2 linked regions of the Yarrowia lipolytica genome follow. The protein of the gene in region 1 interacts with the protein of each later gene in a pairwise test. Links are inferred from orthologs where the notes say so. Each region holds a gene or a part of one and is shown in the gene's direction. Other genes may lie near its edges. The genes, in order: YALI1_D13611g and YALI1_B09266g.

Region 1 (7,922 bases):
GTCGGGTGTGCCATATTCGCATGACGGTTCGAATCCCCCAGTGCACATTTGAGGTGATTGACGATTATGCAATCCCTGCCGACCGTCTGAAGAAGGTGCATGTTCGCAAGCGTGCCAAGGAGAATCTGGGGATTAAGATTGGCGAGCCTCTTCCTAACGAGGGCACCTGTCGCCACTACAAAAAGTCGCACCGATGGCTCCGGTTTTCGTGCTGTGGCAAGGTATTCCCCTGTGACAAGTGCCACGATGACATAAGCATGCATGTTGCCGAACATGCCAACCGAATGCTTTGTGGAGCCTGCAGTCGAGAGCAGACCATTACCAAGGAGTGTGATTCGTGTGGATACTCCTATGTTCCTCGTCACAGTGCCCATTGGGAAGGTGGTAAGGGCATGCGGGACCAGACCCGAATGTCCAAGAAGGACAGTCGAAAGTACAAGCGACTGTAGCGATAGTCATTTGCATTCTACGTACATTAGTATTGTATGTACATTAGTATTTAATTCTCAGACTTAGTACCGCTACTTGTAGCTACTGCATTAGTATTTATCATCAACCCTGCTGTACTTGTACTCTACCAATATCAATATCGGTTTAGACTGGGCACGTGAGCTTCCTAATGCAACGGTTCCAGATGCGTCGATCCAATTTCGAGGTTGTGAAATCTCCGCAGATCGATTAGGGGGTAGATTGAAGCGACGTATTGCTTTTGGCGAGCATCCGAGGATCAGGCTGAAGCGATTATGTCGATGCTATATATAGACTATTTACCCCTGGCTGGGGGGATTCAAGGACGTTTATACGGAGATGGAAGAACGGCTGGATCCTGTTTCCCCCCAGTGAGACAGCGACGGGGGTTCCATGGGCACTTCACGTGACCATGGCAGTCCTATGGCCCTATCTCTGGCGCCCCCCTGGCGTAGTAGTGCATATAATACTGGGTCTCCCTTCTCTACCTGACCCGATCTTATGCACCCCTATGTACTGTGCCGGAGTTAATGGTGGGATGCGGTGAGGTACAGGCGAGATCCTCCAGGGTACCCTGGTATCCTATGTAGTGTATGGCATGTTGTATGTGGTCTAGGTGTGCAATATTGCTAGTTTCGAGCGGTGCTATCTTCCTACCACCCCATTTATCCTACTATTGCTGTCGTCAAAGGGGTCTATAACTACTTTGTCGGCACAATACCAAGCTTAGTGGGCTAGTGGGTTGGTGGGTCAGAGGGTGAACTCTATGGTGGACAGTTGGGCGTGTGAATTGGAGGTGAGGCGCGAAAAAAAAACGGTTGCAGAGTGGGGAGCAACACGGTCAGCTTAGGCCCAGTTAACACGTGGTCTTGTGTACTGCGGGGAGGGTATCAGGGGCCGGTCAAGTTTGCTCCTTCCTAAAGGGAGTATGATTCTGAGACGTCAAGCTCTCTCTCTCTCTCTCTCTCCCTCTCTCTCTCTACTTGCACTTTGTCCGTATATCTCCCAACTCCGTTCTTCGCTACTCGCAGTGCGACTCTGTTGCGCCATTTCGTATCCCTTCTAATAGTTTAACTCTAGCAGCCATCACTCGTGTCTGCAAGACAACCCAAATCCACAGGCACCCAATTCAGAACGTGTGGATCACCGTCTTGCTAACGGATACACAGACCAGCACTATTACGAGACTTAGAGCTGCGACACGAGCGAGGGAGAGAAAGCGATACTGCGACACACACCAGTGACACACACACACACAGTGACATTCGGTATTTAGTGGAGGGTGAGTGAACAATGGAGGTGGCGAGCGGGGGAGGGGGACGAGGGACCAGTGGAGCAAGACCACCGCGGACAGCAGCTGAAGATACACAAAAGAGTGCAATTCCAAGAATCATATGTCCACGGTGGTCGCAAAGGATCCACACAGCCACCCGGGACGTGTACCATATGGCGCTCACTCCTGATGCTAACACAGATATGAAACGAAACGAGGCAAAGAAACACGACATTTCTGGCCCTCTGCCAGACTCGGCGTCCATCCGAAGCAGTACAGCGGGAAAGCTCCAGTCGGTAACTCAGGGCCTGGGCCTGCGAAAGCTGTCCAAACAGAACTCGGTGCGGTCCCTGGGATCAGACACGTCATCCATCTACTCCCACAACGATCCCGACGGCGGAAACTTGCATACCATACCGACCAACTCGTCGGCGTTCTCGTCGTTGGCCTACGACAGCATCTCGCAAAAGTCCAACAAGCCCATCCACGTGCCGTATCTGCCCGCAGCAGGTGATAATGCGTCTGGATCGGGGTTTGTACCCCAGAACATCTCGGCGCCCATTCCACCGCTGCCACAGCAACAGCACCATGGCTCGCTACACAGTCTGCCCAACATGTTGAAGACGGGCCACAGACGAAAGTCGTCCATGTCCTCACACGACACCTCTTCGACCGAGGCAGAATCGACACTCAGCGGAGGATCACGGCCGCCCAGCATCAATAGCGCAAGAGAGTCAAGCATCTCGTTGGCCCGAATGGACCTGGAACACCCTCCGGACGAGGCAACCATCCACCAGCTGTATATGCAGCTCATGAACAAGCGAGACTTCAAGAACCTGCCAGAGGAAGCACGACGACAGATGATCAGCTATCCCACCGACAAAAAGTGGACGCTCATTGTCCAGGACCATCTGGCCGACCATCAAAAAGGACGACTGCGACAGAGTCACCATACACCCCATCTTCCCACACCATCACAGTCCAACAACTCACATTCACCTGAGTTCTACGTGCGCAAGATTCTTGACAATACCATCACATCCAAGCAGCTGGGCAACCTTTGGGTTTCACTGCGAACTGAGCCTGTTGACTGGGTCAGAGATTTTATTGATGCCCAGGGGCAGGTCGCTCTGGCTGCATGGCTCCAGCAGATCAACTCGCGAACCAATAACAGCGAGGGCTTCCTGGACAGAGAGTACGACATTGTGCGATGTCTTAAGGCGTTGCTCAACCTGCGAGATGGTGCCGACCACGCTGTTCGAACTTCCAAGTGCGTGGCACCCATTGTCAGATCTTTGGTGTCCCCACGACTGAGTACACGGAAGTTGGTGACAGACGTTCTGACGTTCCTGGCACATTGGGACGCACCTAAAGGCCATGACCAGGTTCTGGCGGGTCTTTCACAGCTCAAACAGCACCTCAATGAGGTGTCCCGATTCGACGCATGGTTCAGCGTGGTGGAACAGACATTAGCTGGCCGAGGGAAGTTTGGCTCTCTTGTTGGGGCATCGGACGATCTTCGGTCCGGAGGAGTTTCTATTGAGTCCCTACTTATGGAATACTCCCTAGCCACCATGTTCCTGATCAACATTCTCATTCAGGGCGTAGAGGACATTCGGGTGCGAGTCCACCTGCGATCCCAGATGAAGGCCTGCGGCTTGCCTCGTATTGCAGCTCGGATGCAGGCACTCAACTATGATCTGCTTACCGAGCAGCTGCAGAAGTACGACGAGCAGGCTGCACTGGACTTTGAGGATTTGGTTGCTCTTGATCGCCAAGCCAATGTGGGCGACATGACTGACCCTGTGGCGATAGCCGAGGAGATTTGGAGCCGTGTGGAGCACACGCAGGGCGAGGGCCACTTTGTGTCGATCATGCAACACCTGCTGCTGATTCGAGAAGACCCTCGAGAGGACGGAGCTCGTATGCTGCAGCTGGTGGATGCTGTGGTGACCCATCTGGTGATGGATAGAATCATGCCAGACGTTGATTTCCGCTCGGTGGTCAACTTCTCGGTGCAGTCACTTTTGGGTAAGCTACACACTGACGACCAAGCACGGAGGGCGATACTCGAAGCAAAGGAGGCTCTACGGGATGTGGAGATAGCCGAGGCTGAGAAGATGCGCATGGAGGAACAACTGCAACAGGGCTCGGATGGAGTCATCAGCAAGCTGCACCAGACGCTGGAGGAGATGGAGCACAATGCGCGAATCTCTCGGCGCCAGAACGATGCTCTGCGATCCGAGCTTGAGGACGCACGTGAACAGTCGCTAGTCAAGCTGCAGGAGCAGGAGCTGGAGATTCGAGAGCTTTATATGATGCTCAAGGAGCGAGAGGTTGCGGCGGCCGACACGTCCATGGTCAGCACCGAGGGCGGAAAGTCGCAAGGCATCATTGATCGACAGCGAATGCTGCAACGTCTGGAGCAGCAGGTGCATCAGAAGACTGCCGAGTACGGTTCATTGTCAGTTGGCCGCAACCAGGTGGAACCTTCTCCTCGTCTGCGAGAGCTGCGAGACCGAATGGAGGCCCTTCAGCTTCAGGCACGTGAACTTGAGAGCTACGACTTTGACGAAGATGAGTTTGATACCGAGGAGCCCGATGCTTCAACACCTGCTCTCACCAAGGAGGATCTGTATGCTCGTCGACTCGAAAAACTGGAGCGGCTAAAGAAGCTCCAGGAGGCCTCGGGCGAGCTGGCGCTGTCGTTCAACGCAGCAGATGTCTCCAAGCAGGATCTATACGAGCGACGATTGCAGCAGGTTGAGCGGCTGCGACGTCTTCAGGAGGCTTCTGGCGATGTGGCTCTGGCCATGAACGACCCCGGTATTCAGCTTTCTGCGGAGGAGATTGAACTCATTGAGCGGCATCGACGCGGTGAGAAGCAGCAGCAGGGCCAGCCCCAGGCTGCCACAGCTACCCTTGTGGAAATTAGAAAGCCCAAGGCTGTTGCTGGGGACGGGAGTGGAGGTGGAGATGGTATCGGGTCTGGCTCAGGTACTGGAAGTGGCAATGGCACTGGAAACGGTCCTGATGCTGCCACCATGCCTTCTATTCACGACAGACCCAGTGCTCTACCGTTTGCCAACGAGCTTGTGGCCAAATTCAAGGGTGGCAAGGGTGGTGATGGTCATGGCGATATCGATAGTGCGGATGAGGATGCAGGCGACTCCTCTGTTACACGGGTCAAAAAGGAGACCAAGACAGAGCCTGAAGACGTGGTCATCGAAATTGACGACGAGCCTGAGGCTAAGAAGGAGAAAGAAAATGCACATTCGCCAGTCAAGTTTACTGGCGGACCTCCGCCTCCGCCTCCTCCGCCTCCTCCTCCCATGTTCACTGGAGGACCTCCTCCCATGTTCACTGGAGGACCTCCTCCGCCTCCACCACCTCCTCCGCCTGGCTTTACAGGTGGTCCTCCTCCGCCTGGCTTTACAGGTGGTCCTCCTCCGCCTGGCTTTACAGGTGGTCCTCCTCCGCCTCCTCCTCCGCCTCCTCTGCCTCCTGGCTTCACAGGTGGACCTCCTCCTCCTGCTCCGGCGTTTGTTGCTGGTGCGACGCCCTCGCCGTCTCCTTCTCCCCAGCTTCCTTCAGGTTTCGAAACACCCATCGGACGGCCCAAGCGAAAGCTCAAGCAGATGCACTGGGAGAAGCTGGAGAACGTGGAGCATACCTTCTGGGCGCAGCTGTCTTCTGGCGATGTAGAGGCTGACCTGTACAAGAAGGGCATTTTCGACGAGGTAGAGCGAATCTTTGCGGCCAAGGAGGCAAAGAAGATGATTGGAAAGCGGGGCGCCAAGGAGGGCGACTTTGAGAAGCTTTCTGTGATTGCACGAGACCTGTCTCAGCAGATCGGTATCAATTTCCACACCTTCAACGACCTGGGTGTTCCCGAAATTGTCTCCGAGCTCATGTCTGTGTCCCGACGGGTCCGAAACCCCGTTCTCCTCGAGTTCTTGCTTAAGGACGAGGTTCTGGAGATCCCCAACAGTGTGACTCGTCAGCTTACGCCTTACTCTACTCGGTTCGAGGATGGTGAGGTGCGTGAGCCCGAGAAGAATGTGGAAGACCTGGAGCGGAACGACCAGATCTACTTGCAGACGGTGTTTGATCTCCAGCACTACTGGCGACAGCGAACGCGGGCAATCTTGATGACGTGCACATTTGAGAAGGAATACAGTGATCTGGTGACCAAGCTAACGTCTGTGGACGCTGCGTGTGAAACTCTCAAGAATTCAGAAATGCTGCGCCGAATCTTCCTCATCATCCTGTCTGTGGGTAACTACATGAACGACGCCAACAAGCAGGCCACAGGCTTCAAGTTGGCAACTCTGCAGCGTCTCATCTTCACCAAGGACGAGAAGAACACAATAACCTTTTTGCATTACGTCGAGCAGCTGGTTCGAAACTCGTTCCCTGAGGTGGACTCTTTCATTGACGAGCTTGCTCCCGTGTGCGCCATTGAGCGTCTCTCTGTGGAGCACCTGCAGAACGACTGCAGAGACTACATGCAGAACATCTCCAACATTCAGACTTCATTGGACGTTGGAGCTCTTTCGGACCCGAAGCGGCTGCATCCTCGAGACCGCATCATCACACACATGCATCTGCACATGGACTCAGCTCGTCGGAAGCGCAACTTTCTGCAGGATCATTTGCAAACTACTCTTGCCGAATTCTCCCAGATCATGCGCTTCTTCGGTGAAGATCCTGGTGACATGCAGTCTCAAAGCACCTTCTTTGGCAAGTTTGTTGCCTTTGTGAAGGAGTACCGAAAGGCCAAGGATGAGAACCTGCATCGAGAGGAGGAGAATCGAATCTACGAAGCTCGAAAGCAGCGTGCATTGGCGAGTCGAAAGGCTGCTGAGGATGCTGCCGCTGCGGCTGCCGAGTCTGGAGAGAACCTAGTCATGGATGATCTGCTGGAAAGACTTCGAAAGTCTTCTCATGGTGCTCGGTCAGCTCGTCGACGAGCTGCAGCCCGCAAGAACCAGGATGCTTCCTCCAAATTGTACCAGGAGAACCTCATTGAGGATGCTGACGACTACGACAAGTCCATCATCATTGAGGGTGACACCACCGAGATCCGGGAGGGTTCTCCAAATGCCGATGCTGACACAACAGAAGTGCAACCCGCAAGAGATGACGAAGCAGACACGGAAGCTCCAGCAGTAGCGCCGTCATCACGTACGTCTACTCGCCTGTCTGTTGATGTGTCTCGTGGTGACGTGCCAGAGGGGGTTTCGACACCTCGAACTCCTCATGAGACAGAAGACGCTCACACACCTGATAGAGCTGTTCCTGAGGTGGCAGTTACCACTCCCAACGACGACGACGACGATGACGTTGGTACCCGTGCGCAGAACCTGCTGCAGGCTCTGCGGTCTGGAGGAGCATCTCCTCGAGGCCATCGAAGCACAGGATCCGTTGGAAGCATGTCTCAAGGCCGACTAGCAGAGATGCGAGCCCGAAAGGCTAACCGACTGCGAAACAAAATGTCGATTGGCTCCGACTCGGACCTGGGTCCTCACCTGTCGCCTTCGGCGACCAACCGGTCGCCCAGCGCAGCGGAGAAGATCAAGGTAGAGGAGGATATTGAGGCGGAGAGGCGAGACAGTGCGGAGCCCGAAACTGAGATAGAGTCGTCCGAGGAACCCGATTCTCCCACCCCCCGGCGACCAGGTACGGCTTCGTCCCAATCTTCCAGATACACAAATGATGAAGAGTAAAACTACACGATTACATAAACAATGCATGATTGACTAATGAGAGAAATGTTTCCATGGATATATGAAGTTGCAGTCGATGTAATCATGGAGATAGTTACAGTTCGAGTAGAGTACGTACAAGTACCTATACATACTTGTAGCCGAAGATAAAAAAATCTTGACATTTTGTATTGGGGAAGGGTATGTCATGAGTCCAGCACCCAAGTACATACAGTACTCGTAGATGAATGGCTTGTTTCTTACTTCAACTTGTTTCATAAACAGGGCTGATAGCCTGCTGGATAGGTTAAAAAGTTGCAGTTGTACTCGCAGTACAAGTACACTACTTACTTGTAGGTCATACTAATGTTACTAATGTTATGGTAATAAATATTGGCTATATAATTTACAATGTACAGTATGTATAACACGAACGTCCCCAGAGCGCGGGATACAGGATGTACAGCGATAGC
Region 2 (3,219 bases), on another chromosome or scaffold:
TGTCTGACGTAATGTATTAACAAATTGATGCTCTTTCATAATACCTTAACAAATTGACCCTCTTCCAACTAAATACAACAATATCGTGTACAAATGCACCTGAACGACAGACGCAAGGAGAGGCGGCACCAGTACTAGTACAGCGCCTGTACCGCCATGCCAGAGATATAGAATTCAATATGAAATGGAAATCGAGTCCTGCTGAAGACCCTAACAAGCCATGAGAGACACACTCGACTCTGTCTAGCACAGTACAGTCTACCAATAAAACAATCATGTCCCCATACCACATCCAAGCAGGGATAACACGTTGCCTACGCACACAAACAAACACTCTCTCGATGAGATACGGTCTCCTCCTACCTGCATATCCACACCTTTGCCAGACTATCTAACCAACACCCCTACCCTCCACGCGGTATATAATGAAACATGTTAGAAATCTATATCCATATCCTACTCGGACTCGTCATCCTGGTCCTCTGAGTTCTCCTCAGACTCGGGCTTTCCCTCAGACTCGGCCTCAGACTCGTCGACAAACTCCTCGGAGTCAGACTCCTCCTCCTTTGTCTGCTTCTCGTCAGCAGTTCTCTTAATCTCCATCTGGGGCTCCCCAGAGTCATCAGAGTCATCGTCGTCGCTGTCGTCGTCGTCGTCGTCGTCTTCTTCATCTTCTTCATCATCATCACTCTCCTCCTCCTCAACCTTGGCCTTCTTGGGGGCCTTTTCCAAAAACTCGTCGTCCTCGTCGTCCCCCTTGACCTCCTCATCGGCGCCAGCCTCACGCTTCTTCTTGCTCTTCTTGGTGGTGGCAACCTGCTCGGCCCGCTCGAGATCCACGTCCAGCTCGCCGTTTTTGATCTGCTCGGCAAACTCCGCCCGCATCTTCTCACGCTGCTTGGACGACTCGGCAGTCTCATCCACAGCACCATTGGGATACAGAGAAATGTACTTGATGTCGTTGGGGAAATGGATCGTGTAGGCCAGGTCGGCCATGTACTTGACCACCAGAGCCTCGGCGTCCTTCTTCTTGGCATCCGAATCGGCCTGCTCCACCAGCTTGCGAGCCTGCTTGACCTTTCGCGACGCCTTTTGCCGCTCAAAGAACCTAATCATCCGGTACTTTTCAACGTTCTTCTTGTTCTTTCGGTCGCCAATAATGTCCTCGGCCTGCACCTTGTACGCCGCCACCGCCCGCTCCAGCTCGATTCGCTTCTGCTCGTCCATAGGAACCGGCCGCTTGAGCACCCGCTCCAGGTCTCTGATTCGCTTCATGATACGCGTCAGACCGTCGCCTGTCTTGGCTCCGCCCACCTCTCGCGGTCCTCGTCGCTTTCGGTTGTTTGTGTATCGTCTTTGTGTCGGAGGGGCCATGTTGTGCGCGGAACTCTGGTGCAACTTCAGTGCCCTACAAAAATATCCTTGTACAGTTCCCAGTGCATGCAAATATTTTAAGGTTTGGGACCAATGGAGATAACGGAGTTAGCCCTTCATATCCGGACATTCCATGCAGACACACGCCTGTCCGGTGGCCAGGGGAACTCGAAAATGCAATACTATTATAGAAAAGCCTCGAAGACTCAGGGGTGCATCAACGAGGCGGCAGATGAGATGTTTGATCGGGGCGAATCCGCCATCTTGCCAACCATGGAGATATCTACCTCCTTATTAGCCATACTACGACTCAGCAATTTTGCAAGTTTCACTCAGGCTAATTACTACTACAAGTAGTAGGTACAAGTACATAGTTCACCGCACCCGCACTGAACTGTTAGGATTCCAGCTCTCCCACTCGTGGTAATTAGTTCCAATCCCACGGCCGCCAAACTGACTCAGACTCGAACTCAGACGCCACTAGACGTGGAATTAGACCGGGTCTAGAGGATAGAGCAGAGACATGGTTGGAGCAAGGAGGAAGACCCGTACATGTCAAAACAGAGTAGCAACCAGAACGAAAGACGGAGGGAGGAGGGTCCACGTGGGGGGGGGGGCGCGGGCGCGGCGCGGGGGGAAGACGTCACGTCTCGTCACGTGTCTACGACCCCCCCCTCCTCCAATTAATCACACCACAAACCCAAACCAATCCATCTTGTCTCCTTACTTGTTCACTCCCCCCCCAAGGTTACCCTACCGCCAGATCACGCACGTCCAAGTGTACATATCTGTAGCTGCTCCTAACACGACATCTCATCTTATACTCACTACCAAACAACACACACAACACACGAAAACATGTCTTGGCAAGGTGAGCAGCTAACGGCACGCTGAGCGGGCGCAATTCGCTTCCCCCCCCCACAGCAACACTAACACAGCTTACGTTGACAACCTGGTTGGATCTGGCAAGGTCGATAAGGCCGCCATTTTCTCCCGAGCCGGTGACTCCGTCTGGTGCACCACCTCGGGCTTCTCCGTGGCCCCCGCCGAGGTCTTGGAGCTGGCCAAGGGCTTCGACGACCCCTCTCCTCTGCAGGCTGGCGGTCTGCACATTGCTGGCCAGAAGTACTTCCTTCTGCGAGCCGACGACCGATCCATCTACGGAAAGCACGAGCAGTCCGGCATTATCGCCGTGCGAACCGGCCAGGCCATCATTGTGGGCCACTACCCCGAGGGCGTGCAGCCCGGAGAGGCCACCAAGGTCGTTGAGGCTCTGGGAGATTATCTCATCAATGCTAACTATTAGTGAATGATATTGAATGATTGGAAGTGACGACTGACGACATGTGGAGGGTGGGACATGCGAGCGGGAGGACAGGCGACAGTTGCAATTGAACCTGCAGAAATGATCCAGACTCCATACAGTTGACATCTGGTCCCGCTTGTCCTCTTCACGTCACGTGTCCTTTGTAGGAGAGGTGACGTTGTAGTCACTGTATTACAGTACATACAGTGCAATACAGGTACAATTGTACTGGTACTTGTAACTAACAGTACCGTGTAATGTAATTGCTGGTCGTAGCACACCGGCCCCCTTCACGTGACCATCTCCGTTTCCAATGCTCTTCCCCATCCGCGTAGTGCTCGATTGCCACTGCGCAAGGTAGTAATTAACTCAATTGGCGATGACGAGATCAGCAACGGAATTTGGAGAGGGTAATATGGAGATAATATCTACGTCATAATAAGAGATCCAAGGCAAACGACACCGGCCTCTACGAACAAGCACCATATCTATACATCTATGCAACTACTTGACCTGGATCCACCCAATACCCCGTATAC

What was found.
Region 2: the proteins of YALI1_D13611g (region 1) and YALI1_B09266g interact in a two-hybrid assay, tested with the Saccharomyces cerevisiae proteins (3 studies listed by BioGRID). The link is inferred for Yarrowia lipolytica from reciprocal best matches to the Saccharomyces cerevisiae genes BNI1 and PFY1.

The regions. Positions count from the first base shown.
Region 1 is NC_090773.1:1,359,350-1,367,271, forward strand, and holds YALI1_D13611g (uncharacterized protein), read left to right. Parts: upstream 1-1,761; coding exon 1,762-7,470; downstream 7,471-7,922. Other genes in the region: YALI1_D13574g (uncharacterized protein), read left to right, coding at 1-449. UniProt on the Saccharomyces cerevisiae protein: Required for the assembly of F-actin structures, such as actin cables and stress fibers. Nucleates actin filaments. Binds to the barbed end of the actin filament and acts as a leaky capper, slowing both polymerization and depolymerization.
Region 2 is NC_090771.1:924,455-927,673, forward strand, and holds YALI1_B09266g (uncharacterized protein), read left to right. Parts: upstream 1-2,232; coding exon 2,233-2,245; intron 2,246-2,312; coding exon 2,313-2,680; downstream 2,681-3,219. Other genes in the region: YALI1_B09258g (uncharacterized protein), read right to left, coding at 457-1,374. UniProt on the Saccharomyces cerevisiae protein: Binds to actin and affects the structure of the cytoskeleton. At high concentrations, profilin prevents the polymerization of actin, whereas it enhances it at low concentrations. By binding to PIP2, it inhibits the formation of IP3 and DG.